Linked DNA regions of Lonchura striata. The protein of the gene in region 1 binds, or shares a complex with, the protein of each later gene. Links are inferred from orthologs where the notes say so. Each region holds a gene or a part of one and is shown on either strand. Other genes may lie near its edges.

Region 1 (7,127 bases):
AGAAAATCCCTGGATGACAGCTAGTATTCCCTACACATTCCTTAAAGATTCCTATTAAGTCCCTCTAAACTAAAAATCCACAGGGTGAAAAAAAAAAAAAATCAAGCACAGGAAAAGGCCACCATTCTTTTGAGCCTGAAGTTTTCAAGTGAGTGGAAAAATGCATCTGGTAGCCTCATAGATTTTCCCCATTTTTAGTTTTAGAAGAGAAAAAAAAGTAATTCACCCTGTGATCATAGACCTGTTCCTAATAGAAAGACATACATCTGCATGCAACTACTATAGCTAGTCCACCTCACAAGAGAGGTCAAAGACTGAAGAGACCAAGGAAATGCTCTCCTCCTCAGCCCTAGAGACAGTCTCTCCTGGTCAGGGTGGAGGCAATTCCTCAGACACCAGCATGGCAGAAGCTTTTGTTGCCAGTGCCTGGGTTGCACTTGTTTTATAGATAAAGAGGCTATCAGGGTTGTCAAGCTGGCAGCTTTCAACATCATTAAATTCACAAAGCAATTTGAATGTGATACTGTAAGCTTAAGACCTGATGTTATCAATAAAGATTTCTCTAAGGGATTTACACTGCCTTCAAACACATTGGGATTGGATGATTATGTCTGTGAGCCTAAACCATAAACATCTCTTTGGCTATTTAAGGAGTAACAGCTACAATACAGGCTCTTTGCCTGGAAGGCAAAGTATTTATGCAAGCTGACTTCCCATAGAGTGGGGATTCAGGCAGCTCTGCAATCTCACAGAGAGCACACAGCCAGAGCCACTAATGGAGAGGCTGATCACAATCACAGCAGAAGCTATGTGAGCCCCTCTTGGGGATGCAAGTTACTGTTATAGAGCCAGGTAAATTTAAATAACAAGAATCAATCTTTCCAGATGGAAGAGAGTTGAGAAAGTCAGCCTAGCCTGAAACATATAAAGGGGCAGTACAAAGTGTTCTCAGCTGAGCTCCAGAACAGAATTTTCATGAGCTCAGCATTCACATTTGATGCTCAACTCCCAGAAGAGCTGAGAGTCCATTAAGTACCAGGTTTTCAGCCACTCTCAGTAGCTCCCATGCTGACACTTCAGGCAGATTTTCAGAGCCAGCAACTAGAACACATCCAGTATCTTGAGCTGTCAGACATCAGACCCCGACCATAAAAGCTCATTCCTTTTGAAATGTGTCCCTAAAGATAGTTGCATGAAAAGAAAACTCAGCAGAGGCATTATGCACTTTCACTTACCTATAGCCAGAATGCCACCCTTCCTTTCATTTGCATCAGAGCTAGAGACCAGCTCAAATATGTGATGGTTCAGCTGATCGTAAAACCTGGTAGATTCTTCCTGACTCATCTGTAAAAGCAAAAAGTTCAAATCAGCTTTCAGCATTCTCTTCGTCCCTCCTGCTCCAAAACCTCCAAAAAGACAGTGCTTCATATGCCACTTAAACAGAAAGACATTAAATCAACCATACATTACAAGCTCAAAAAAAGTTTCTCTTATTTGTGACCTATATGCAGCAAATTTATTTATTCTGGTATTTGACTACCCGTTTGTGTCACCAACTTGCTCACCTCTCCTACATGCCAGGGAGCAAAGACAAGCTCTCCACTGTGCCCCATTTCTTCCCTGAGACCAGCTTCCATATTCCAAAAACCTCCATTCCCAAGGCACCCAGCCCAATAATCTACACTCAGATGATGCACAAAGATAAATAATCCCATTTGTAGCACTCACCTCACGCAGCTCCATGGTGACATAATGCTGCAGGTCCTTGGCAGCTTTCGCCCTCGTCTCCTCGCTGCGACTCTTCAAGCCATTGGCAAATTGCTGGAGAATGGACACAGTGCCCGACATGGTGGTAGTGTGCTGGGGCTCAGGGGCATCAAGTCCTGTAAATTCTTCAGAGAGACACATTTTTTACTGCTTGAATTGAAATCTCCAAGCTTCTCTCGTAAGGCCTTCCCTCCTGACTGTTCCCAAAATACCCATAAAGATGCTGTGTAGACCATAAAATTACAAGTAATGACTATATTCCTTAGGCATTACACTCCATGATAAAACTGTATCACCACGTATCATGACACCCAGCCTATTTGCTCTCTAGTTCCTCAAATACCAAAATACATTACAGTAGGCCAGGTCCTCTAGGGTGATCTAATCTTAAATCAAGAGTAATGCAACAGTTGAAAAACAGCAGGGTAAAACCAGGGTTTGCAATTACCAATAATAAGTAAGCACAACCATTCCAAGGATTATATCACGATCATATCTGACTCCTCCCTGAACACTTTCATCCAAGTTTCTTCACAGAAATCTCAGTGTTACACCAACACAAGGAAGACTCAGCACTGGCAAGTGTTACATTCTCCAACAGATATTTAGAGATGGGAGGTCCAGTTATAGCAACACCAATCATTGCAACAGGGGGTTTCCTAGCATGACACATAAACAAACTTTCTCGGGAGCCTTTCTTTATGTCAAAAACATTTCAGACGCTTGACGCCCCCCCATATTCAGATTACATAAAACCAAGCCAAGCACTAACACCAGAACTCCCCAAATATTCCACACGCGCTCGCAGACATCCAGCGGGACCACAGGTGAGGCGGCTGCTGGCAGGAGCCCAGGAGAGGCTCCGCATCAAAGAGCAGCGCGGGGGGTGGATACTGACATCAACCCAGCCCGGAGCCGGTGCCTGGCACTCCCTCAGGGCCACAGAACGCGGCGGGCCCGAGCCGGGGCTGGGGGAGCGCCGCAGGCCGAGCGTGAGGGAGGGTGAGGCGGGGCGAGGCGAGCACGGCCGGCGGGGCCGCAGGGCGGCAGCGCCGCGCGGCCGGGGGCTCGGGCAGGTCGGGGCGGGCGGGAAGCGGGAGCTGAGGGGAAGGGGAGCCGATGATGATGACAGGCACCGCCGCTCTCACTCACTCACCCGCCGCCGCCTCCCCTACTCCGGGCCCCAGGCCCGTGCCTGCCCCGCCGCCGCGCCCGCAGCGCCGGCGAGCCGCCGCTGGCCAATAGGCGCCCAGGAATGCCTTGATCGGCATCTCGTCTGACCAATAGGAAAAGAGAAACGGGGAAAACGCGCTCAAATCTCCGCCCCTGACCCAAAGAACCGCAAGGACAGCCGCCTTTCGACCAATCATCAAGGCAGTAGAGACTGAGTGGCAGTAAAGCTGACCAATAGAATGGCTGGGTTTACCCAGTAGGCCCGCCTTCCCGACGCCGGCTTCCGCCCTTCCGTGAGGTGCCGGCTATGGCCGGGCTGCAGCATGGGTAGGTAACTATCATCGCCTGCTCGAGCTTGTGTGAAGCCTTTGGCACCGTTCCGCATGACATCCCGGTCTCTGAACTGGAGAGACGTGGATTTGATGGATAGACCACTCGTTGGATAAAGAACTAGCTGGATAGACGCTCGTAAAGAGTTGCGGTCAGCGGTTCATTGTCCACATCGAGACCAGGGACGAGTGGCGTCCCTCAGGGGTGGTGCTGGGGCTGATAGTATTCACCAACTTTGTCGGCGACATGGACAATGGGATTGAGGCACCCTCAGCAAGTGACACCGAGCTGTGCGGTGCTCTTGTGGAAGAAGAGAAGGCTGTGTGCAGATCTCGGAGCAGCCTTTCAGTACCAGGAGGGGCATACAAGGAGGGACTCTTAACCAGGAACAAGGGCGAACAGGTTCAGACTAAAAGAGAGGAAATTCAGTTTAGATGTTAGGAAAATGTTTGGGGAGGTCGTGGCACAGAGAAGCTGTGGCTGCCCCATCCATGGAAGTGTTGGATGGGGCCTGGGCCAGTGGAAGGTGTCCTGCCCGTGGCGGGATGAAACCAGAGGAGCTTTAAGCTCCATCCCGGCGCAAGCTGAGCCCCGAGTGCGCTTTGCGCATGCGTGACGGGAGCGGGGAGGGCACTGCCGCGCCGTGCTCCGCCGAAATGTGTCCGGCTGCCCGTGACAGCGCAAGGGCGGCTGTGTCCGCGCCAGGCTTCGTGTCGTGGCGGCTATGACACGAATCGTAGTGCCGGCGCGTGCTGCGGGGTGACCCCCTCGCTGCCTCGCGTGACACCGCGGGCCGCTAAATTTTCGTTTTAATTTGACAGCGGGAGGTGCCGGCAGGTGCGGAACTCTTGGCGCGGGGCCGCGGGGGTGGCGAGGCCGCGCAGGCCGGCGGCCACGTAATGGCGGCGCCCGCGCATCTCCCGCCGGCCGTGACGGCGGCGGCGCCCCTCGCTCCGCCCGGGCCCCGCTAACGAGCGGCCCTTCCCCCTCTAGGTGCTGCCGCTGCGAGGCGGCGGGGCGAGCATGGGACCGGCGGAGCTGGTGCAGAAGATCAGTATCAGCGCCGAGAGCCCCCGCGGCAGCGGCAGCGAGAGCGGCGGTGCGGCGTTGGCGGGCGTTGAGGGAGCCGCCCCCGGCAGCTGGAGGCACAAGTGTGCGGCCTACGTGCTGGCGCTCCGGCCCTGGAGCTTCAGCGCCTCGCTGACCCCCGTGGCGCTGGGCAGCGCGCTGGCCTACCGCGCCGAGGGAGCGCTGGACCCGGGGCTGCTGCTAGGGAGCGCCGTGACCGTCCTGGCTGTGCACGGGGCCGGCAACTTGGTGAACACCTATTATGACTTTTCCAAAGGCATCGATCATAAGAAGAGTGATGACAGGACGTTGGTGGACCAGATTTTGGAGCCGCAGGATGTGGTGCGGTTTGGAGTTTTTCTCTACACCGTGGGCTGTATCTGCGCTGCTGGTCTCTACGCTGTCTCGACGCTCAAGCTGGAGCACCTGGCCCTGATTTACTTTGGAGGACTTTCCAGCTCCTTCCTTTATACCGGAGGTAAGTGCTGCATCCCGTTAGTTGTGAATCTGCTTGTAGAAGTGATAGAATCAGCGGAATTGTCAAGAGGCTTCTAGAAGACACAGTGCACTGCAATAAAATATTTGTGGTGTTTCCTGAAGTACTGGTACATAAAGTTATATTCTTTGCAATTGAATATTGTGGGAAGAGTCATACTAACATCTTCACTTAGATAGTGGTGTTGAGGCATTACTGTTTACAAATATGGCTTTAGATGCTTCCCAGAACTGTTGCTGAATCTTTTTGTGAAGTTTATCTCATATCCTTTAGCAGTGTTGCTAATGGCATATTTTCTTTGCTGGGAATGTTACTTTGTTTTGGAATGTTTCGTTGTTATTCTTTAGATGGAGCTTCACTATGAATGCTGTACAGTGTGTGATTCTCCTTAATAAGACAAGGATATTTTAGTGTCTTCCTGTATTGGATAGACAGATACAAACATCATTAGTAGGGGAAGAAAAAACAGCTGAGTTTCTAACTGTCAGAATTTCAGTTATGCGGGTTTCCCTGAAACTGTCTTGTCATTTTTTGCATTTTGTTCTGAGCATTTTCTATATTTCTTTAGGATCAGGTTTTCGTATACATGATCACACTGAAAAAAAAATACCTTATTTCTGTAGGTTTCTGAAAAGACAGGTCTTTCTAGATGGGCATTAAAACCTGGCCCTTACATTTTTTGTCTGGAGAAATTCTTACCTTAAAAAAGAAGGAGATAATGTGTTTCTTGTCCATAGCTGCATGTGCTTTGGTTGTTTTGTAATGTTCCTATGAGAAAGGCTGTGTGGGTATTCTCAGAGAGAAATGGAAAGTTTCTAACCAGACAGAAGCCTGAGAAACTGTTGAGAAGAATGTAAATAAGGTTCTTTATCTTCTTGTTGTTCACATTGTTTATAGTTAGGTTTTGGTACTGCATGTCTTTCACTGCACATCAATAGGTGAGATGTTTTTACTTCAGGACCAATATAAAGAGTGATAAATAAATCAGAGTTATACTCGCAGCCTTCTGAACAAAGTCTATTCATTCCTATCCTGCCTCAACAGCATCAAGGCTGGATATATAGAAATATGGGAATGATTTATTTAAAAATATGGATATTGATCTAGTACCAATATCCAACTGTGATGGACAAAAACTCTCTAACAGTTTAAAGTTGAAAAATGTGTGTTTATTGTGTGTAGGATCACTCCCAAATCCACACCGCAGCTTCCAGGTGATTACAGAGTCTTTTTATCCATACAAATATTGAATATCCAAAATACAAATCCATATTCATCATTTTGGTACATCCCATTCCCTGCTTTGTATGCTAATCACTTCAAAAGCCATTCAGCATGCATGGTTTGTTCCTTGAAATGGGTCGGTGTCCCTTTCATGGGGAGGGGTCCCAAAATGAGGAAGTAAATGAAGTCTTCCTCGTTCTGACCTTTCTACCTTTTCAATGCCAATATCACAAATGAACTCTTGGTAGAACTCCCATTCCTTGTCTTCAATTGGTTTCAGAACAGAGGAGGCCACAATTGTCTTATGTTCCTAAAAGCTATTTGTCAGTTTGTGTATTCTTCATTATAAACCCAGATAACTAAACATTGTGCTGACAAGCAATCAATTATTAGTTAACTCCTAACTCTTAACTTCATCACGGCCTACTCATTTATTTTAATTAATTCTAGTAAGGCTTATCTCTAACTAAAATCTTAGCTCCTTTAAAATCCCTAAATTCCTTAAAATTTACGTTTCAGGAATAGGAATATTCCTATGGGAACTGTTATGTCATCCATGCTCTTCTGTCATTTGAATTATTTAATGATGCTTGACTTTATCCTTGTGTCTTGCCACAGGAATTGGATTTAAATACGTTGCGCTTGGCGACGTGGTGATCCTGATCACCTTTGGGCCCCTGGCTGTGATGTTTGCCCACGCAGTGCAGGTTGGTTACCTGTCTCTGTCACCCCTGCTCTACGCTGTCCCTCTGGCCCTCAGCACTGAGGCCATCCTGCACAGCAACAACACACGGGACATGGAGTCGGACCGGCAGGCGGGCATTGTCACCTTGGCCATCCTCATTGGCCCCACCTTCTCCTATATCCTCTACACTGTGCTGCTCTTCTTGCCCTACCTGATTTTCTGTGTGCTGGCCACACGTTATACCATCAGCATGGCACTGCCACTGCTCACCATCCCCATGGCATTTTCGCTGGAAAGACAATTCCGGAGTCAGAACTTCTGCAAAATTCCTCAGCGGACAGCCAAACTCAACCTACTGCTGGGCCTTTTCTATGTCTTTGGCAT
Region 2 (7,402 bases), on another chromosome or scaffold:
CTCACCTTTGAGCACCTCTTCGTTCAGAGACAGGCTGGGGTGTTTAATGAACAGGCATGGCCCAGCCCGGGCTGGGAGGAGTTCGTTTTTCAGACTGAAGGCACTGCAAGGTTTCCACACTCAGCTCACAGCCAGAGGCACATCCCCTCCAGCCCTCAGGGAACCTCCTGCAGCAGCAGCAGCAGCCCAGAGAGAACAGCACACCTCGGGTCCATCAGCCCTGGCTTGTGGGAAAGGGAGCCAAGAGACAACAGGAGCTGCAGAGAATTGGGGATGGGGACAGAGGCTCCCCCTGGGCCTGCAGGGAAGGAAGGGGCTGAGCTGGAGGGGCAGAGGGACACCAGGGGCTGTGGGCACTGACAGAGCTGCAGCAGCACCCTGGAGACAGAGCTGGAAAGCAAGGAAAGAGGAAGAGAAGAAACTTCCTGAAGACAGCTGAAACTAGAAGTAATTAATTTATGGTGCCAGAGAACAAAACAAAGCAGTTCAGGAACAAAAAGGGGGAAAATCAACAACCCATCAGTTTTCACCCTGATAGCACAGGCTGCCCTCACACCACCACTGCCTCACAGGAAAACCCCACAAACACCAAGCTCCTGGGGTTTTCTCCAGGTGCTCCATTCCCTGGACAAACCTGTCACACCCAGCTGGACCATGGGAAAACAGCAGCATGAGTGAGCTGCCCTCCCTCCACCTTCTGATCATGGACACGAGGTCAAACCAGATTAGATTTTATGAACTATTTTGCAGGATTAGCCAAACTCAAGCTCACTGGGTGGAAATATTTACCGGACATCACCCCTGCAGCAATCCAAGCCCCATCCCCTTCCCTCCCCAGCTGAGGTTCTGTGGTTGTTACCTCTCATTAAGCACTGGGGAGACAGCTAGTGATAGCTGAAAAGGGGAATAAAACACAAGACATGACAAACAGCTGCTGAGATTTAAAAGTAATGAGGTTGAGCATTCTCAAATCAGCTGCTCTTCCTCTCTCAGGTGTCTTTACATGCTTTTGGTATCTTCCTATGTACCTGCTCTTCAACAAAAACGTAATTATACACAACAGCAAGTTTGTCCAAAGGATCCCTGATCCAACTGCCCAGATACAAACGACACCCGAGCCACACCACTGGCCCTGGTGTGAAGTCATTTGGCTCCAGCTGACAGCAAAAATAGGACTAAACTGAAAAGTCGAGCTTTGCTTCTATTTTCTTCTTTCACAAGAGTCAGATTCAGCATCTTGCAGAGTGACCCAGGGCCCAGCCCCACCGAGCAGCAGCAGCAACAACCACGACGTTTCTGGCACGGAAAGTCCCACAGGAGGGAAATGCAGCTCCATGGACTCGGGCAGCAGGAGCTGGGTTGGGATTGCCACTGATGGTGGCAAGCACATGAAACATTTCACAGCAGCCAAAGAGAACCCCTGAGCACCCCCTGAACTTGTGCTGCTGCTGCTGCTGCTGCACAACCTATGATCAGCACAACCAGGGCAAAGTCATTCCTGAATTAGAAAGAGGCAACTCTGCAGATCAGGGATGAAGGAACAGGAAACATCTCAGGAAGGCAGAGGCACCTAAAATAGACCAGCAAGCTCATCACACCTCCACAGTCTACTGGAGAAAGTCTCCTGTGTGCCAGAACGCTTTGGAGCACAGCACCCAACGTGGTGCCTTGTGCTGCCTTGTGCTGCCTTTAAATCACACCCAAAGTGCTCAGTTCAACCCAGCAATGAGCTGCCAAGTCCCACCTGCAGTCCACGGTTCAGAACTTCTGAGAAATGCAACCACCACTCTGGGAACACTGAGACTCAGGGATAGCCTGGGCAAAGAGCTCACAGCCTGCAGTTTCAGTAAGTTATTCCATCCTGTTACAAGAGGATCATAAACGTACTGGAAAACTGGTCACCAGAAAAACCCATAAATACCTAGAAACACAAAGTTATGGGTTTGAGAGCTGGGAAAGCCAGCAAGGCTCCAAGAACAGAATGAGGGCAGATGATGGTCCAGGACATTTCTTAGGTGCTTTGTTTGCTCTTTACTGAGACATCCCACAGAGGCAGCAGAGGATCCCAGACTCCCAGCTGGGACGTGTCTCTGTCACTCCCAGTGCTCTCAGGAACACACAACATGTCCCCAGACACCCCAGGAGCTCCTGCTGTAACACAGCCAGAGTTCTGTCTGAAAACTGTGTCCTGCCTCCAAAATCCCACAAGCTGTTTGTGCACAGGACACCCTCACTGGACACTGCACACAGCACCCTGCTGGCACAGCAAACCCACCCAGCTCCTGTGCAGCTGCAATTCCTGCACCTGCTGCTCCTCCTGACCTCGGGTGCTTCACTGCCTTGCCCAGAACACACCAAGCTGCATTTAAAGCGCCAAAGTGGTGGAGCTGCTCCAAATGCCCAGGGCTGTAAACATCACAGCAGTGCCTCTGGGCCAGCTGCAGGTTTGCTGCCCCAGTCCCGCAGCACTGGGACACAAACTGTGGCATCCACAGGCAGCGTTTCACCTGACAACAGCTCAGCCCCCTCTGAGCTCCGACTCCTTTTCCACATGTCCCCCGACTGCTCCTGCTCCAAACCCCACGGTGCCCTGGAGCATTACCCGGTCCTTCATCCTCCAGCTCTGAGCCAAAGACTTGGAGCCTTCGATCTTCTCGCAGTGCCTTTTCTTCATAAAGGCCAGGGGCAAGTTCCAGTCCGTCAGGTCGGACTCATCCTCCTCCCCGAGCCCCAGGAGAGGCGACTGCAGCATCTCAGACTCCATGGGCGGGGAGGCGCCGGGCAGCACGTGGGCAGCGATGTCCAGCCCGGCACCCAGCGGGGCCGGGGGTCCCTCCGGCCGGAGGGGGAGGCCGGGGCAAGGGCAGCGGGGGCAGCGCTCCCCGGTGCGCGGGTACGGACGGACCAGGGGCACGCAGCGCCTTCACCTGGCGCAGGCAGCGGCCCCGGCCGGGCTCGGGGGCGCGGCCCGGGGAGCACCGAGGGACCGGCGGGGACCGGGCCCGGGGCCTCCCTCGCACCTCTACCCCCGCGGGCCCCGCGCTCCCTGCGGCGGGCACCGCGCCCGGCCCATCGCGGCTCCCTCGCACACCGTCGGGCCGAGGGCGGCTCGGCGAGCTGCGCTGCGGGGGCGGGCGGCGGCGGACGGGACGCGCGTCCCGGGGCGCCGGCGAGCGCGGCTGGGCTCAGCACCGCGGCACGGGGGCGGCCATCTTGGCCGGCCCACAATGCCCCGCGGTACGGGCCGCCGCGCGGGACACGCCGCGCCGCCGCGGGGACGGCCGTTGCCACGGGGACGGCGCGGCCGGCGCGGGAATCCCGGGATCCCAAACCCCGAGGCTGGAAAAGCTCTCCCGGCCCATGGAGTCCCAGCTGTGCCCCGTGCCCACCTTGTCCCCAGCCCGGAGCGCTGGGTGCCACATGCAGGGATGCCCTGGACGCCTGCAGGGATGGGCGCTCCAAACCGCCCTGGGCAGCCCCTGCCGAGGCCTGAGCGCCCTCTCCATCGCTCCTGGTGTCCCTGTGTGGCACTGCTGTCCCTGTTCTCCCCGAGGAGACTCAGCTCAAACCCAGCTGAAAACCAATCCCCGATGCCGAGCTGCTGGCTGGGAGCAGTGCCGGCCTCACCCTGGCGTGTCCTGGTGCTCCAACACAGCCAGGCACAGGTGCCAGCGCAGCCATGCCTGATCTTGGGCTTCACTTCGCTTTGTTCTGTGTGCTCGTTTACTCTGGGGCAAAAGAGCAGGAGAGTGCTGAAACCGGGCACAGCCCCCTGCAGATGTGTCTGGTGCATGGTCACTGCACACACCAGGAAAGGCAGGTGAAGCATTTCAGGCATAGATCCTCCTTGCCATTCAGCTGAAGGTTAATGGATAGCAAATATTGCTGCTAAGGAAGTTCCTCAGTGTTTGCTCCTGGTGGTAGTCGAGCCCTGCCACATTCACATTTGTAATACTCAAATGTGTAAACATTATTTCAAAGTAGAAATTAAAGAATATACGTGTGTAATTTGATTTACAGAACCATTAATTTTCATATACTTTCAGTGTGTTTACACTCATGGAATATTTCCAATGCAATGACCTTTCTTTACAAGAGATTGGGAGATTGGCAAATGATGTTTCTTGGGGTGGCCAACTTCTGCTTTTTCTCCTTCCCTTTCCTGAGGAGCTGATTCATTGCCTCATGGTGCTTTGTGCTGATGGCTGATGATAGCTGCATGATTGTTATCAGAACGAACTGCCTGGCTGCAGAAAATGCTTATGGCCTCGTTTCTGCTAGCCTTTAATGAATTCCTCAACAGCAGCCACACAAAACCAGAGAATTGCAGAATTCTGGCACGCTTTGGGTGGGACGGCAGCTTAAAGATCTTTATTTCCAACCTGCTGCTGTTGCACTACAACACAAAATAACTCACACATGCACGCTAAGATCAAAAGAGCAAAAGAAAGCAAGTTTGATTTCTGACCTCGCAATATACAGAATTCCAAAAGTGACAGTGGATTTGAGGAAGAAATTGCCACCTCTCCAACCACACTGGTCAAACCAAGTCCATCAACTCTCTCCTCCCACAAAAAAGAATTCAAAACAATCATTATTTACATGAAAAATGTGTGAGAAACTCCAGTAGAAATATATAAACATCAGAAGGCATAGAAAACTTTTAAAAGAACTTTAAAACCTTCAAAAGAACAGGGTGACATGCTGCCATGGAGGGCTCAGAGAAACAACCCCAACAGCGCACCTGAAGGAATCCCAGTCCCTGGGGCTGCACAGATGGATCCCCCTAATCCCTCTGGGCAGCGAGGGCCCGGCCTGGCTGAGCGTGCCGCAGAAATCCCCGCCGAGGGCACAGCTGGCAGCGGGCACAGCTGGCAGCGGGCACAGCTGGCAGAGCCGCGTGCCCCATGCCCTTCCCTCGGGCTGCCCGTCCCCTCTGGGCTGCCTGGGACACTGCCCTGCTTCTCTGGGGTGAGCTGGGCTCTGCTGGCCGGGCTCCAGGGCACGGGGATGGGCACGGGGACAGCAATGGGGACGGAGGGCTCAGCGGTGCTGCCTTGGCTGTGGGCTGGGAGCCACCAGCCTGGCTGCTGGGCACGCACAGCGCTCCCACGGGATCTCAGCTTGGCCTCTCCACTGCACGGCTCCCACTGCGGGTTCCACCCTCTCCTGTTCACTCCCGGCACTGCTGGCCAGCCTTCCCTGCTGCCAAAGCTCCGTGCCAGGGCAGAGGTGGTGCCAGTGCTGCCCTCAGGAGCGCCCTTTCCATGCACAAGCAAGCCTTCAGCCCCAGGTTCTGGACAGAATAACAGATTAAATTACCCCCTTGCTCCCAGGGAATCCGAGGAGTGGAAGTATCATGTCAGGTAAGGCACCGTGAGTGATGCCCTTAAACCCAAAATGCAGGATTATCTTCCAGAGACACATTTGGACACATTCTCCCACCTGTCACTCTTTTTAATGAAAAATCCTCCTATCTCAGGCTCTGTCGATGTCCTTTGTTTTGCCTTATTCAGCCATCTAATTCTAATTCCACTTTTGGGCAGGAAGAAATACAGATATGGAAAGAAGAATGTTGCTCATAAATATCATGAGAGATCTTATATTTTGATTCCATTACTCAAACCCACAGGTCACCAAGTGAGTCAGTTGGATGCAAAGCTCTGTTCTCAATGCCCACAGGCCAGCAGGCCACCTTCCCTGAGGCTCTAAGCGCAGGTGTTGGAGTGCAGGTGGCCACGTTCCTTCCCCAGGGCAACCCCTCAGCCCAGCACTGCCTGTTTGGGGCATTTAGGGGCAAACAAACGAGGTTCGTTTTAACATTTCAGTCGGGGCAGCTTTACAGCCTAAAGACAGTAGGTAAAATATTTATCGGGAAGAATATCTATTTTTAAGCAAGCCGGGTTTCAGCGGTGTTATTTATGCATGCGCGGCACACAGATTTCCTTCCCTGCTTCCCAGCAGATGTGAGTCGGGGCTGGGAGCCCGGGGAGGCAGGTGAGAAGGGGGCGGGCGGGCTCTGGGCCAAAGCCGATACGCATCAAAACATGATTCACACACTGACTCCCGGCTCGGGAAGCCTCCCGGTGACCTCCCCGGCCAGACCGAGCAGCCGCGGCCGCTCCCGGCGCTGCCCCCTCGCTGCAGGCGAGCAATCCTCACACAGGCACCGGTGCTCCCCAGAACCCCGAATCCCTTGCCGGGGGGGTCTGGTGCTGTGTCTCCTCCCCGCAGCTGCTCCTGCAGCAGCTCCTGCTGCAGCTCCGCCTTTCCGAGCACAGGCACCGGGGCAGGGATGGAAAGCTGAGGCTTTCCCTGCCCAGACAGGAACCACAGAATCTTCTGGGTTGGAAAAGTCCTCAGAGACGATCAAGCCCAACCACTGGCCATGTCCCCAGGTGCCACATCTGCAAGGCCTTTAAATCCCCCCAGGGATGGAGACTCCGCCACTGCCCTGGGCAGCTGTGCCAGGGCTGGACAATCCTTTTGGAGCAAGAAATTTTCCCCAATATCCAACCTGAAGCTCTCCTGGGACAGCCTGAAGCTATTTCCTGTCCTGTTGTTCCCTGGGAGCAGAGCCTGAACCCCCCCAGCTGCCCCCTCCTGCCAGGGAGTTTTAGAGAGTGAGGAGGTGCCCCCTGAGCCTCTTCCCACACCCGTTGTTCTGCAGTGCCCCAGCCCCCGATGTGAAGGGATGTGCTCTTCTGAGCACAGTCAAACTGCCTCAAAAATATGGGAGACATAAAAAGGGTGTAAAGTGGCATCTCAGTCAGCAGCACCCGTTGGGAATATGCAGGGATTCATGTTCTCGTCTCACGCTGAAAAGGCCAGAATAAATACTAGGTCAAAAATCTCTCCTTGCTCTTTTAATGGAAGAAACACTTTGGCATCAGGGGAAATTTTTCACCAAGGAAGAAAAGAGAGGGAAAAAGGAAAGGTGATGCAGATTTTGGAAGCAGAAGATTTATCTGAGAGTTTTATCTGTTGGCTTTGCCTCCCCTGAGCTATAAAAGGGCGAGTTTCCGGATGAATCAGAGGCTGTAGAGTTTCGTTAATGAGTGCATTTGACATCCTCGGATTCCAGGTAGTACACAAGTTGGAAGTCATTTAGACCGTGAAGCAGCCGCCGCGTTTGACCCCAAAGGCGACTTCAGTTCACGGCAAATGTAAAGATTTCTGTGTTCCCGGCGGCGCAGGGGAGACTCAAGCGACCCCTGCGCACACTGACAACAATCGGCTGCTTAATGGAGCTGTTTTTCTCATAAAGCCTGAGCGAGGCTGCACTCGATAGTCGGGGATGCGATAGATCGGAGGGCTTGGAGGAGCTGTTAATAGAGTTCTCCAGCCCCGGCATCCATCTCCGAGCCGCTCATCCGTTATCATTATCTCCCTCTGTCTCCTC
Region 3 (7,177 bases), on another chromosome or scaffold:
TGTGGAAAGGCAGGAGGGAGCAGAAACAAGTGCAAGGCTGAAGTGAATGTACTTTGTAACCTCTGCAGGCAGCAAGGGCTGTGCTGTGCCTGTGGAAGCATGCCCAGGGCAAACACTGGACACACTTCAAACCACTCCTTGGGAAGGTCCTGCTTTGCTGAAGGACAGAGCAGGTAATTGTGCTGATAATTGCTGCTGCAGGAATTGAAGGTACAAGTCAGAGCTGTTCTGCACTTGGGAGCTGAGTAGCTGGATGGCTGTGGGTTTGCATGTACTGGGTTAGTGTAAAAATACTTGGCTGTTGAGTTACCTTTACTACATTAAATCTATTGTGGTTCTTTCTCCATCAGAAAAAGTAGATACAGGCAACAAAAGAAAGCCATGAACTGTCCAGCCTCAGCATCCTCATCTCCCCACTGACACTCACTCCAGCCCTTTTTGCTGTTTCCCCCCTTGGTATCTTGTCTTTCAGAACCACATCTGATGTGTTTCTTTCTTTGAGTAAACAGTTTATAGTAACATTAATGTCATTTATCATCTGACCTGATCCCAAGGCTGTGTTTGATGAGGGAGTACCTGGCAGAGGGAGACAGGGAGAAGGGCTGGAGCACGGCCAGTGCAGAGGCACACAGGGTATGTCACTTGTCCCACAGTTCTCTGAACTGCTTTGGAGCTCAATTTGCAAACACTGCAGACATGAGGAGGCTGCAGCAGGAGCAGGGAATGTACAGGCACAACCCTAATTCCTAATGCAGCCAATGCTATGGAATGCTGCCCTGGGAAAACACAACCTGAGCATCACACCTGGATTGCTACAGGGGGAGAGGATTTCAGCAAAGGGGTACTTGGTGTGTGAGCCTGTTCAGCCCTAAATGTATCAACAATAAGAGTTCAGATAATGCACAATGCCTGGATTAGACATTCAGAGCCAAAGGTGTGCTGTCCCTCTGCTCAAAGCACTCCAGAAGTGTTTAGACTTCACCTGGGCAGGAGAAATGTAGTAACAGCCTTACCACAGTCCAGATCCTCTCACCTCTGCTTAAGCTGGTGCCTCTTGAGTAGCAATGTCCCAGAGTGCTGCCAAAGGCCATCAGCAGTGTCACCCAGCCCTACAGCATGGAAAAACAACCAACTCCCCTGAAAGCTCTGTATTTCCCTGTATTCCCAGCGTCCCAGCCAAGACAAAATGAAGCACTTACATGATCCTGCTGGAGGAAGGATTATTAGCCAATTCCCTCCAAAGGAACAGTGGAAGAAAAGGCAGTTAAAGATTTTTCTTCAAAATAAACCCATGCCCAGAATGGATGAGTTCTGTGTTGCTGCTGACAAGCATCCTAAGGTGAGACAACTCAATTGCAATTTAAGGCAATAAAGCCAATAAAGGGGGAGGAACAGAAACCCTGCATTAGTGAACTACCCTAAACAAGCACAGAATGAGCCAGGGGCAAGTTAACAGAAACCAGACAAATAAATAGACACAGCTTCAAAAGGAGAGTGGGATAAGAAAAAGAGAGTTAGGGAAAAGACCTAATCAAAGAAAGAGGAAGGAACAAAAACAGAAACTCCCACAAATGAAAAAAAATGCTGATTCTCACCACTCTGACCATGTGGAGGGGTATGGGTATATGTCCTGAAAATACAAGTTAGGTTTCACCAGAGTAAAAATCCAAGTGCCAAAATATGACAGGCAAGTAATAAGAACTGTAAGGAGATGGAAATTGAAAGCATAACTACCACAAATGTCAGCTGTTTTTCCAAATCCATGTATGGCACTGGAAGGTAATTCTTATCTCAGTCCTCTCAGTCTTCTGGCTCAGTAAAAAGTCCAAATTCTGGACCGTGGCATGGTTCCAGAGGGAGTGAATGTAAAGATGATGGCACAGCTCCAAGGGTTGGTCCTGCAGGATCATGGCTACTGCAGTCCTCATGTGCATCAAACAATTGTGTCTGTTACAAGACACGAGACACGAGACAAAAGAATCTGGTGCTGTACATCGGGGAGGGCTGTCCCTCTGCACCTCCTGGGGAGCTTTGAACAGGATCCCTGTTCACAAATGCTGGATTTCCACAGGCTGCTGCCTTTTTGCAGGCTCCCTATATCCCACCAATCCCAATATGGGATGATGCTTGAGGGCTGTGATGAGGTGGGAATCTGCTGTAGTGAGTGGAAAAGACAAGGCTGGTCACAGGGAATGAGCATGCAGCGTTGTATCACCACAGCCATCACTGAGAAAGTACAAACCCCCTGTATTTCCTCATGAAATAACTATCCTTCCATCATGTACCTATTCACTGGAAGCTGTTATTCCTGCTGTTTAACAGGTCACCAGCACTTGTCCTGTAAAACCCCATAATCCAGAAGACAAGGGGTATAATTAGACTATCCCAAAAAATGCAGGTATCTCCTGAAAGACTGTCTGCTCCTCCAGAAGCGAATCACTTTTGTGTACAAATGGCTTTCTTTTGCTTTAGTTCCCTGCCCTCTCATCAGCTTAGATGAGTACGTGGGAGTGGATGGGTGAGATCAGGGAGAAGCCAATCCATGTCCCTTAACATCATCCAGCTGCTAGTTTGGCTTGTTGTACTCTGGCATAATTGCATGTTAGGTATCAATGTTTCCCAAAAAGATAAGATGCACATTAAAATAAGTAATTCTAACTAACATTCATTTTTCAAGAAAATGTGTAAAGGGTTTGTATTAACCCAAAGTGTTCCAAATGAGTAGTAGAGGGGAGAAATATGACTTTCCTGTCTTAGTGTCTTTTCTCCCTTAAATTCTGCATCCATCAAGTGTTGCAGTCTCCACTAGTACGTGCAGCCCTCTTTTCACAGCGGAAAACTCCCCACCGCTTGGATCCCACAGTTAGCCATTCCCAAGCTCCCAAACGCCGCCTTCCCTTCCATGCAATTCCCAACACTTTATCCGCGCTGGGACCCGACGTTTCTCCATAAATCATCTGAAGAGGCACCGAGATAAATTCAAACAAATTTAAACAAGCCCGGCCGAGCGGCCCTTCCCGGCACGGGATCCTGGAGCTGCGGGGACACGGGAGGGGCAGCGCCAGATCCCACGGCCAGATCCCACTGCCCAGGGAGCAGCCCCTGGGATGGGGAGAGGAACGGGGATGGGGAAGGAGACGGGGACTGGGATGGGGAGAGGAACGGGGAGAGAAACGGGGATGGGGAAGGAGACGGGGACTGGGATGGGGAGAGGAACGGGGATGGCCACGGGGATGGGGAAGGAGACGGGGACTGGGATGGGGAGAGGAACGGGGAGAGAAACGGGGATGGGGAAGGAGACGGGGACTGGGATGGGATTGGGCAGGGGCGGGGGACGGGACTGGGATGGTGATAGGGACGGGAATAGGGACTAGGACAGTGATAGGAACAGGGATGGGGATAGGAACAGGGATGTGCACGGGGATAAGGACCGAGATGGGGATGAGGAAGGGGACAGGGATGGAGGCAGGGACGGGATTGGGCCAGGGACGGGACTAAGACGGGGATAGGGATAGGGACCAGGACAGGGATAAGGGAAGGGGACGGGGACAGGGATGGGTGACGGAGATCGGGGACGGGACAGGGACGGGGATACGGACAAGAACAGGGATAAAGGACGGGGACAGGGAGCGGGATGACCAAGGTGACGGAGCTCGGGGACGGGACAGGGATGGGGATAGGGACCGGGACAGGGATGGGATGAACTAGGTGATGGAGATCGGGGGCGGGACAGGGACGGGGACAGGGATACGGGACAGGGAGGGCGATGACGCGGCTGAGGGGGCTCGCGGCCGGGGCCGGGCGGCGCGCGCGGGACGCACCAACCGCCGCACGCTGCGCGCGCACGCGCGCGGGGCCCCGGCGCGCGCCTCTCCGCCCCCACCCCCGCCGTCCCCGCTCGCCCTTGCCCGCCCGGCCCCGCCCCCTCCCCTTCGAACGCGGCCGTTGCCGCTCCCCGGCCAATCCCCGCCCGCCGCCGCCGCCGCCCCGGCCAATCGGCGGGCGGCACGGCGGGGGTGACGCAGGGAGTTTTTTCCCGTGACGCGCAGGTGCGTACGCGGGGCCGGCGCGCGGCGGCGGCGGTCACGTGGTGCGGCCCCGCCGCTGCCAGCGCCGCGCGTCCCGAGCGCGCTCCGGCCGCCGCCGCTCCCCCCGCGCCCCCCGCATGTCGCTGGCGCCGCGCCCCGCGCCCCCACAGCCGCCCGCCGCCGCCCTCCGCCGCAGCCGCCGCCCTTGATGTGGTTCGGGGCCGGGCGGGGGAGAAGATGCCGCCGTCCAAGTCCCGCAAGATCGCGATCCTGGGCTACCGGAGCGTGGGTGAGCGCGGCGCGGGTTTCGCGGCGGGGGTGCGGGCGAGTGCCGCCGCGTCGCCCTCCCCGGCGGCGGCGGCGGCGGCGGCGGCAGGTGCAGCGGAGGCAGCGGCGCTTCCCGCCGCCCCGAGCGCGCAGCCGCGGCCCGAGGGAGGGAGCGAGGGAGGCCCCGCCATGGCGGCGCCGCAGAGCTGCGGGCCCGCGGCCGCCGTGCCCTTAATAGGAAGTTTCGCCCCCCGCACTGCCCGAGCGCAGCCCGGCGAAGCGGGATCGGGCGAGCTGCGGAGAAGGCTCCTTCCCCGCCCGCCCGGCGCTCCGTACGGAGCGAGCCCGGAGAAGGGCAGCGGAGCTGGGGAAGGGGCTGGAGCGCGTGTCCGGTGAGGAGCAGCCCGGAGGAAAGGAGGCTCAGAGAGGCCTCGTCGCTCTCCACAAGTCCCTGACAGGAGGGTGCAGCCAGGTGCGAGTGGGCTCTGCTCCACGGCAGCCAGCGATAGGACGTGAGGACACGGTCTTCAGCTGTGCCGGGGGAGCTTTGGGTTGGACACCAGGGAGAATCGATTCTCAGAAAGTGATCGGACACTGGAATGGGCAGCCCAGGGAGGTGGTGGAGCCACCGTCCCTGGAGCTGTTTAAGCAGACTGGACATGGCACTCAGTGCCGTGGTTGACACGGTGATGTTGGGTCTCGGAGCACTTTCCGAGCCTCGGTGGTTCTGTGCTTTAGAAGCAATTTGAAGTGCTGGGGAGGCCAGGCGGGTCCGTTGCCCGTTCTGCCCCGGGGAGGTGTCGGTGCGGCAGCGCAGCCGCTGTTCCGAGGGGCCGCCGCGCCTCCGGCTGTCCCCAGCACGGCGCTGCTGGGACAATCCAGCTCGGGCTCATCCGCTGGGACGAGCTTCCTGGAAGCGTCCAGCACGAGTCTGCAGCAGCTGATAGAGGGTTTTGTTCATAGCAAACGGTGTGATCCTGCATTCGCTGTCTTTGATGGAGAACGGTTTCAGATGTTTCAGCTTTCGGGTTCTTGAAGCGGGAGGGAAACAAGCTGTAGTACAGCCGGTGCTAATCGATCAAACTTAAAAGCATAGATCAATGTGGAAGATAATGTGTGGTTGGAGGGGAAAAGGAAGATGTTACAGAGAGATACTACTCTGATATAGATGAGGTTTTTGCACTGAAAGCTATATCAGTAATTTGTCTTACATGGCACACAGCATAAAGAACCCTTTAAAAAAGCTTTTTTTAATATAAAAATAGGCCTAAATAAGGAGAGCTTTTTCTTGCATTTTGTGCATAGCTGCAGCCAGGTTGGTGTTAAAGGGATTGATGAATTTGTCCAGTCCATAAACAGAACAGTGAGTAGTAGATTGATCAGTTTGCATAGTCCGTATGACATCACTTGTTGCAGTGTGTTCATTGTCTTGTGTGTTATGTTTTCCTTCTTTGAGCACTGGTGGGAGCAAAGCAATGGGCAGTGTAAGTGGGAAGGGGGAATGCTTGAAATTCTGTCCTTTGGAAGTCTGTGGTGGGGACTGGCTGTACTGTTGAGCTTTGGTCCTTCATCTGTTGATGCTGACAAGCAGCAGTCAGGAAATCAGATATTAGTAGAGTGTAGGACCAGCTGAGGAGAAACAGAGAAGTAGTATAATGTTAGTTTGGTTGGTGATGTGAGCAGTAGTACTCGTGGAAAGGATGACCAAAATGTTACCTAACTGATAAGACCTACTGCTGAACTTCTTTAACTAAATTTTCTGGGACTAGTGTGGAATTGGGCTTGATAGGACAAGAGCAATTTTATTAGGAGAACTACAGGTTGTAGGAACATAGAGTTAAGAGTAAGTGAAAAATCTGGTTTACTGGAATTTTCCTTTCATTGTCATTAAATTTCTCAGCTAATACTTAGGTAGAAGTTCAAGCAGTAGAAATGGGCCTTTGGGGTCCTACTTCCATCTTGTAAAGCTGTTAGAAAAGCAGGAAGGTTAACCTGTAAGATATAAACTGTCCTCTGCTTCCCCAAATATCCTCCTAAAGTGTAGTAGGATGGGGACTGAGACTTCAGGGAAACTTGTCATTAAGTCTTGCTTTGTATTATGATGATGAGGATATCACTTGAACCCTGGGTAAGAAAGGATATTATCTCATTTTAGGACAAGTATTTGGGTGGTAGAAAAGGAAGTACGTTTCTTTTGGAGGAAATGCTGCATTGTATAGAGGTAATGCTCATTAAAGTGGGGAAAAAAATCCAGAATCTGAAGGATTGGAAGGAAATGCTTTCTACATTTCCTTTTGTAATTAGAGAACGACATTGTTTTGCTATTAACATTAATCTTGACCCTGGAATTACGGAGGTTAACTTTGGTGAGTTGTAAAATGTTTATATTTTCATAGGTTGACCCTAAATGCTTAGGTGACCTGCTCTGGGAAGTTGGATGCTCCTGTTGTAACTACAGGGTTTGGGATGAAGGTGTCATAAAATGAGGAGCTCTTTTTCCCATGTCTCTCTGTTAGGTGCTGAAATAACCAGGTTTTGATGATATATGTCAAGCAGTGAGCTTTTCCCTACAGCTGTTGATTAAACAATGCCGTGGGTCTCTCTGGTTACAAGTGTGTGCAGTGAAGGGTGGGCACACCCTCCCTGGGGATTTGTGAAACAGGGTCTGAGAATTGTACTGGATTCGTGCTAAGGCCTTGTTTATTTTACTTACTTTAAATTTTAATCTTATCCCAGTGTTGTTGTCAGGTAAACTAGATGTTGGGAGTGGTATTCTGGTATAATGGTGCTCAGAATAGAAAATTCAGGAGTCTTCTTGTTTGAATACACTCCCTCTATCTTTCAACACCACCATCGAGCCTTTCATATGTGAAACTCTTATT
Region 4 (6,883 bases), on another chromosome or scaffold:
GAAAGATGGAGACACACTGTGTACAAGGGATGGAGGGACAGGACCCAGGGAATGGCTCCCACTGCCAGAGGGCAGGGCTGGATGGGATATTGGGAACTGGGAATTGTTCCCTGGGATGGTGGGCAGCCCTGGCACAGGGTGCCCAGAGCAGCTGGGGCTGCCCCTGGATCCCTGGCAGTGCCCAAGGACAGGCTGGACATTGGGGCTGGGAGCACCTGGGACAGTGGAAGGTGTCCCTGCCAGGGCAGGGTGGCACTGGGTGGGCTTTGAACTCACTTCCAACTCAAACCACTCTTGGGTTCTGTGATAAACAAAATATCTTGTTGTAGAGTGGAGAATGAAAGCACAGGCTAGGAGTGCTTGAATATCAGACTAGAGCTTCTATTTTCACAATTCTCAGTGTGATATTCAGGGACCTAAAAAACTTAATAAATTTCATAAACATCAATACAAGCTTCAATCTTAAAAAAATAAAAAATGCCGAACCAGAAAGCTTCACCATTTTACCTTTTTGCCTGTTTGCTATTGAGAGAGATGCTACTCTCTTTGGGTTTTACACCCAAAAGGCCCCCAGGCTCATAGAATCTGCCTTGTCTGGAGCCAGGACAGAGCCTGGGGACACGAGGCAGGCCCAGCCAGCCCAGGGGCTCGCAGCACAGCCACTGCACTGCTCTGCAGCAGCACCAGGGAGGCTGCTCTGACACTGCCAGGCAGGGGGCTGTGCCTTAAACAGCAGCACCTGTCAAAACAAACACTTGGGTCTCTGTCAGACAGTTTCTTTAGGTTGTTGCCATTCTACTTTTGAGTGTACATAAATATTTTTATTGCATTAAAAACATGATCATATCTTATTTTTTAAATATAGCAGCATGCAAGCTGCTTCTGACTTAAGAAATACTCATGATCAGACCTCCTTAAAAATGCCTGAGACCTTCAGTCCCTTTGGGACTTTATGTCAAATGAAACTGAATAGATTCACATTTCTTCAGCAAAAGATGAATCCCCCGTTTCTCTGGCTTTTAAATTTGGGTCTGTCTCTTTCAAGAGCACACAAAACATATTCAAGGAGCTTTGTTTTGCTCTCAGGATAATGGATTTAGATACAACACTTCTCAGGCAATAAGCAAACAAGGTAGGGATTGCCCTTTTGCAGTCTGGGATATAAAACTGAGCTGACAGACAGTGAACAACAAGGCATCACAGTCTGATGGAGCTCCTCAGCTCACACACACACAGAGTTAATATTAAACACAACTTGGAGTTCGTGTCAGAGGCACTAACAAACGCCCTGGAGAGCTGCTGCCACCCCTGAGGCAGCCCCTCCCTGCGGGGAGTCCCAGCAGTGGGACCAGCACTGACAGCCCCGGGCTCTGCTCCTCAGCTCCAGACTGCCCCTTCCAGCACCTGAATGGGAGCAAATGTGGACACCTGAGCTCCACCCCCACTTCTCAGCCAGTGCCATTTGCCCTTGGACATCAGAAGGAATTTCTTCACCCCACGGGCTGTCAGGGTTGGAAGGGGCTCCCTGGGACGTGGTGGAATCAGCAGCCCTGAGCAGTTCAAGGAGAGACTGGACGTGTCAGTGCTCCGGCCTGGCTGACAAGGGGTGTGAGTCAGAGGCTGGGCTCGATGATCTCACAGGTTTCTTCCAGCCTCAGTGACTGTGTGATCTCCAAAAAGACTGACCACGTGGGAGATGGGCTGCTCCTACCTGGGGATGTGGCCAGCACGCTGCCCATGTGCTGTGCCATTGGTTGCCATAACTGACCTTTCCATACAGGTGTGTGCTTTTCACGCTCACAACTTCGAATGGCCGGGAAAATTTCGTGCTACAGAACGCATAACACAGATCCCTGTGCCAGGCTGCTCCACCTGCAGAGGCCTTCTCCGATCCAAAGGAAACGCACAACAAGAATGTAGCTGTTACTTGTTATTTTAACATCTGTTATTTGTTATTCTAAATTTGTTACATGTTGCAATGGGTGAAAATGTAACCAACAGATGAGGAAAGGGTGTTACAACAAAGATGTGAAACATTACTGATACAGAAATTGGCTAAACTGGTTCTCCCTGCTTCAGTTATTTCTGTACAAGTCTATATGTACGTACATGCTGATCCCAATTTATTTTTAATCTAACCCAAAAAAGTGTCCGTGAATGGAGCTGTTCTGAATTTGGAAAAGTAACTGAGAGAGTCTAATTCCCAGTCTTGCATGTACCTGATAATTCCCTGACACCTAAAATCGGCTAAACACACACAGGATATCCAAGCTTGGCTCTGGCATCTCTGGTTAGTCAATTACCAGACTTCCACTAGCACAGAAACGGACTCGTTGCTGCATCCCCCGGACACCTTCCCGCTCCCGTGTGGTGTTCACAGTTCCCATGGCACCGGCAAGCGGGAGCAGCACCGGGAGCCCGGTGCGGAACGGCACTCGGGTGCGATGCTGCTCAGAGCGCACCTGGAGCACTGGGCAGGCAGAGCCCTCGCCGCGGCCGGCAGGAGCAGCCGGGACACGGGACTGGGATGGAGCGACGGTACCGGCCGGAGCCCCCAGGGCACGGGACTGGGATGGAGAGACGGTACCGGCCGGAGTCCCCAGGGCAGCCGGGTGCCTCCCGCTGCCGCGGAGTGCGGGCACGCCCAGGGCATCCCGGGGGGCCCGCCGGACCGTGCCGGTGCCCGCCGCTCCCGCCGCACTCACCTGTGCCCCGCCGCCCATCGCGGCCGGACCCGCTCCGTCTGCCCCGCCGCCGGGAGAGCCGCGGGAGCGGCCCCGCCCGCGCGCCCCGGGAGCCCCGGTGCCCGAGCCGCGTCCCGGGCGGGCTGGCAGCCGCTGCCGCCGGTCACGGCATCCCGCGGGGCCCGGCGAGGGACTGGCAGCGCGGGCAGCCGCGGCACCACCGCCCCCGCCCCGCACTTACCGGCGCCGCCGCCGCGGGGCCGCGCAGCCGCTTCCGGGTCCGGGTCCGGCGGAACGGGCGCCCGCGGGACCCGGAAGCGCCGCGGCCGCGGAAATGACGGCGCGGAACGGGCGGGGCGGTGGCACCGGCGGTACCGGCGGCGCGGGCCGCACGCGGGCACGGCAGCGGGCCGCGGGCTCGGCGGGCGCAGCCGCCCTGCCCGGGATGCCCCGCGCCGGTACCGGGACACCGCGGCCGAGCGGCGCTCCCCGGTGCCGCACGGCAGCACACAGGACGCTTTTCTCACGGGGGTCGCACTGGCTTTATTGCCAGTGTGTTGCTAAAAGCACGGTGACGTTTGTGTTTATTTGGTGATTTGAGGCCAAGCACGCAAGTACAGACACGAAGGGGATGAACCCCACACGGGTCAGTGTGCCCGGACCGGCACCGAGCGCCGCCCGGGCCGTCAGCAGTGTCCCCGGTTACCCGCTGCTCCGGGGCTGAGCAGGGCGCACAGCCGAGCTGCCGGTGCTCCCAGCTGTTCCCAGGGAGCCTGTTCCTGGCCTGCTGGCTCTGTGTCCCTGTCACCTCTCCAGACCTGCTGGTGCAGCCTCCGCAGTTTCCTGTGCAAGCAAGGAGACTTGTTCATCCCTGAGGAAAGCCTAACGTGGCAGCCTCAGCAGCTGCACAAACGCAAACCAGCTGCCTTTGAGAGGGACAGTGCACAGCATGGCACAAGTGCCACCAAGGCCCGGGAGGAGCAGGTACCAGTGACTGGCAACAGCACAGTAAGGGCAGGAGCTGGAGCTGCCCCAGCACAGGGCATGTCACAGGAGTGCCTGGCTGCAGCTGGCAGAGCCCAGAGCTCTGGGGTGACTGGACTCAGCCTCCTGAAACAGTACCAAAATCACCCAGAAGAGCAGCTTTCCGCTGATGCAGTGAGACTGAGCAGGTCCCTGCAGGGGCCAGGGAGCCCTGTCCCGTTTGGCAGGGTCAGGGGCTAGGGGATCTGCCCATTCCATCCGTGGCACTTCACCCTCAGGGGGCAAGTGCATCTGTGAAATATTCACAAAAATACCGATTTAAAATGCCTTTGGGGTAGTGTTCTTAGTAAAATTGGATGACCCTGAAAACTCGTTGGCTCAAGACAGACAATGATGGAGTAGTTAAGATGTAAAGTAATTGAAATGTGAATGAATTTACTAATTGTATGGGGGGACGGTGAGCGCACAGATTTGTTGACCAGGAGCCACCTCCATCTGCACCAGCCATCCGAGGCCCCAGCCAGGTAAAGGGCTCCGGTGACATCCAGGCCCAAGTGAAGGTGAGGGATGGCGCTGCCAGCTGGGACTGGGGCGAGCTGGCAGCTCTGCTCTGATGCCAGCCTGAGGCATCAGCCAGACCACCAGGAAGGTCAGGGGATGAGGGCTGGGTGCGGGCATGGCTCCACTGAGACTGTCTGCCACAGACAGAGCACAAAAAGCAAACTAAGGATGGTTTTAACCGTGGCTCTACCCGAAGTGTGACAAAATGGCCCAACCTGAGGGAAGCAGGAGCGAACGGGGCAGTGTCCCACGTGAGGACAGTCTGAGGAGGTGGCAACGATCTACATGTAACATCCTAAGGGAATGAAGTCGTAATTACCCTTGCTGCCTGTGCCTTTTCCTCCTCCCGCTTCCGCGGTTCTGTGCACATTTACAAAAAGATAATTTGCAATTGCACGCGGTAACGCAGGCCCTGAGCCGAGGGCTGTGCCGAGGGCTCCTGTCCTGTCCCGCAGCTCTCCGCGGGGACACGCTCAGGGCACGGGCCGCGACAGACCGGCCCGGGACCCTTCATCCTGCGCAGGGCTCCATCGCACGGCCGCCGCTGCCGGTGCCGGGCAGGCCCGGCCGGGCCCGGGCGCTCGGGAGGCCCCGGGGCTCCGTCGGGCAGGCCCGGCCGGGCCCGGGCGCTCGGGAGGCCCCGGGCCCGGCCCGGCGGGACCGGCCCGCCGTCACCACGGCAACGGGGGCGGGGCCCGGGCCGCTCGCCCCGCCCACGCCGCCGTTCGAACGGCCCAATCACAAGTTCCTCATCCCGGGGCGGGGCCCGAGCTGGGGCGGGCGGGCGCGGCACCACCGTGCGGGCGCTGATTGGCCAAGGCCGCAGCCAGCCCCCGCGGCCTCGCGCGGCGATTGGCCGCCGTGCCCGTCGCTCTGGCGCTCGGCCGGCCCCTCCCGCCCGCCCCGGAGCGCGGGCGCCGCCGGGCCCGGCGGGAGGGCCGCGCGCGCGGAGCGGGGCGGGCGGGCCGGCGGGGCGGGCCGGGGCGGGCCGGCGGGGCGGGGCCGGCGGGCGGGGCGGGGCCGGCGCTCCGCTCCCTCTCGCGCGCCGCTCGGCTCCTTCACAGGGTGACACGTCTGCGGTGAGTGAGTGGCGTTGGCAGCCTGTCAATCCCTCACCGGAGCGGCCATCAAACAACATAAAACACGCGCGGGCACCGGGCGCGGGGCTCATAAATTCCGGCGGGCCGATATTTTTGCACATTGCTTTGCAGAGAGTGTGTAATTAATTTTTTTACAGTTCTTTCCCCGTTATTTCCGCTCTTTTCTTTGCACAAGTTCAAACTTTTGATTGCTGCTGTCTCACCCCCGTGCACAGACTTGGGATCGTTTGTTATTTGGGGGGGAGGGCGATTAATTTTTTTTTTTTCCCTCTGTGATTGTGTTTTCTTGGCTTTTTTTATGTTGCAATTTGGGGGTGGGGGTGTTCGCTGGTTTGTTGTGGTTTTTGCTGTTTGCACCCTCCCAACTTCTGAAGGATTTGAAAGCGAGTTTTTTTGATTTTGTACTTAATTTTTTTTTTTTAATTTTGCCTTTTTGCAAAGAAGATTTTTGGACAAGTGGGGAAAGACATAAAAAGCAACAATAAAAATAAAAAAGGAAAAAAAAAAGCTTTGGAGGAAGATTGTACCAGGAAAATCTCACAGAAATCTGCTCAGCTCATTTATCCGAGGCACCAATATGATGATGATGAAAGAAGATTGTAACTAAAGAAGAGAGTGATTTACTGCCCTGGGAAGGAGAAGAGAGTGGAATAAACAGCTGAGATCCGGTCAAAACACAAATACTACATTTTTTTTGTTACTGTTTTGTTTGGCTTTTTTTTCCTGTTTCCCTTTTTTCGTGGTGTGTGTGCAGAGCGCGGTCAGGAGCGCGGCACTGGGACTGAGCGGGGCAGGCGCTGCCGTGACCGCCCGGAGCGCGGCCCGGCCCGGAGCCATGGACGATCAGTCCAGGATGCTGCAGACTCTGGCCGGCGTGAACCTGGCCGGGCACTCGGTGCAGGGGGGCATGGCCCTGCCGCCTCCCCACGGACACGAAGGGGCTGACGGCGACGGCAGGAAGCAGGACATCGGCGACATCCTCCATCAGATCATGACCATCACTGACCAAAGCCTGGATGAGGCACAAGCAAAGTTGGTTTCGTCTAATTAAACCTTGTCTTTTAAAAAAATTATTATTAATATTATTATTTTTTTAATTATTTTTGGTGTGTGTGTGTGGTTTTTGTTTCTCTCCTTCCTGTTCCTCTGCAGAGACCCGGAGTCTCACAATTAAGAGCAACTTCTTGGGGCCGTAAGAGAAATTGCCAGCAGCCAAGGCAGAGCCAAGTTGCTATTTAATGATTTCTTTCCTTAAAAAAAAAAAGCTATGATAAATGTAGAAGTATGCGATGGCTCTGCCGTCGGTGTGGTGCGCGGGAGGCTGTGGCTGGTCCCTGCCCGTTCCCGCTGGACGCTGCCCGGTGGATACCGGCCTTTGCGCCGCCGTCCATCCGTCTGTCCGTCCGGCCATCCCTCAAAGTACAACTTTGCCTCTTTCTTTCTTTTCTTGTCTCAAAGCGGCAGCAGATGAATTATAAATCTGACCAGATACTGCTGCAGGAGAGGGTGTGTGTGTGTGAATAAAGCCCGAACCAAACCCCGGCTCTATTCAAT

What was found.
Region 2: the proteins of MTOR (region 1) and RPTOR are in contact, whole or in part, in a cryo-EM structure (PDB 6BCU), measured with the Homo sapiens proteins. The link is inferred for Lonchura striata from reciprocal best matches to the Homo sapiens genes MTOR and RPTOR. Residues at the interface, in NP_001373429.1 of Homo sapiens: His597, Thr600, Pro632, Val644, Ser645, Gln646, Thr647, Ala648, Val649, Ala653, His686, Ala688, Gln689, Glu691, Met721, Asn722, Pro723, Ala724, Phe725, Met727, Pro728, Phe729, Arg731, Lys732, Leu734, Ile735, Leu738, Thr739, His743, Tyr771; in NP_065812.1 of Homo sapiens: Phe278, Lys282, Cys283, Ser285, Leu286, Pro288, Gln380, Ala381, Asp383, Leu384, Asp387, Glu411, Gln412, Thr414, Ala415, Val418, Trp419, Thr421, Met422, Arg427, Asn428, Glu431, Gln432, Lys973, Ile974, Asp979, Leu980, Glu981, Ser982, Lys986.
Region 3: the proteins of MTOR (region 1) and RHEB are in contact, whole or in part, in a cryo-EM structure (PDB 6BCU), measured with the Homo sapiens proteins. The link is inferred for Lonchura striata from reciprocal best matches to the Homo sapiens genes MTOR and RHEB. Residues at the interface, in NP_001373429.1 of Homo sapiens: Arg62, His69, Glu73, Ala101, Thr102, Ile104, Gly105, Arg106, Asn109, Tyr110, Arg112, Asn113, Phe140, Glu143, Tyr144, Phe147, Glu154, Arg160, Thr969, Gln973, Phe977, Lys980, Glu1010, Phe1011, Gln1014, Met1018, Ser1050, Thr1051, Asn1264, Lys1293; in NP_005605.1 of Homo sapiens: Lys5, Ser6, Arg7, Lys8, Arg15, Pro37, Ile39, Glu40, Thr42, Gln57, Ala62, Asp65, Tyr67, Ile69, Gln72, Thr73, Ser75, Ile76, Asp77, Asn79, Asp105, Met106, Val107, Gly108, Lys109, Val110, Ile112.
Region 4: MTOR (region 1) and MAPKAP1 share a complex: the UniProt entries of both Homo sapiens proteins name them as parts of the mechanistic target of rapamycin complex. The link is inferred for Lonchura striata from reciprocal best matches to the Homo sapiens genes MTOR and MAPKAP1.

Annotation. Positions count from the first base shown.
Region 1 is NC_134626.1:5,764,691-5,771,817, reverse strand, and holds the start of MTOR (serine/threonine-protein kinase mTOR), read right to left. Parts: upstream 3,008-7,127; 5' UTR 2,924-3,007; intron 1,893-2,923; 5' UTR 1,849-1,892; coding exon 1,729-1,848; intron 1,345-1,728; coding exon 1,236-1,344; intron 1-1,235. Other genes in the region: UBIAD1 (ubiA prenyltransferase domain-containing protein 1), read left to right, coding at 4,294-4,816, 6,677-7,127. UniProt on the Homo sapiens protein: Serine/threonine protein kinase which is a central regulator of cellular metabolism, growth and survival in response to hormones, growth factors, nutrients, energy and stress signals.
Region 2 is NC_134621.1:11,400,811-11,408,212, forward strand, and holds the start of RPTOR (regulatory-associated protein of mTOR), read right to left. Parts: upstream 3,014-7,402; 5' UTR 2,765-3,013; coding exon 2,603-2,764; intron 1-2,602. UniProt on the Homo sapiens protein: Component of the mechanistic target of rapamycin complex 1 (mTORC1), an evolutionarily conserved central nutrient sensor that stimulates anabolic reactions and macromolecule biosynthesis to promote cellular biomass generation and growth.
Region 3 is NC_134603.1:150,905,972-150,913,148, forward strand, and holds the start of RHEB (GTP-binding protein Rheb), read left to right. Parts: upstream 1-4,160; 5' UTR 4,161-4,265; coding exon 4,266-4,317; intron 4,318-7,177. UniProt on the Homo sapiens protein: Small GTPase that acts as an allosteric activator of the canonical mTORC1 complex, an evolutionarily conserved central nutrient sensor that stimulates anabolic reactions and macromolecule biosynthesis to promote cellular biomass generation and growth.
Region 4 is NC_134624.1:10,804,452-10,811,334, forward strand, and holds the start of MAPKAP1 (target of rapamycin complex 2 subunit MAPKAP1), read right to left. Parts: upstream 3,008-6,883; 5' UTR 2,926-3,007; intron 2,771-2,925; exon of another isoform or gene 2,706-2,770; intron 1-2,705. UniProt on the Homo sapiens protein: Component of the mechanistic target of rapamycin complex 2 (mTORC2), which transduces signals from growth factors to pathways involved in proliferation, cytoskeletal organization, lipogenesis and anabolic output.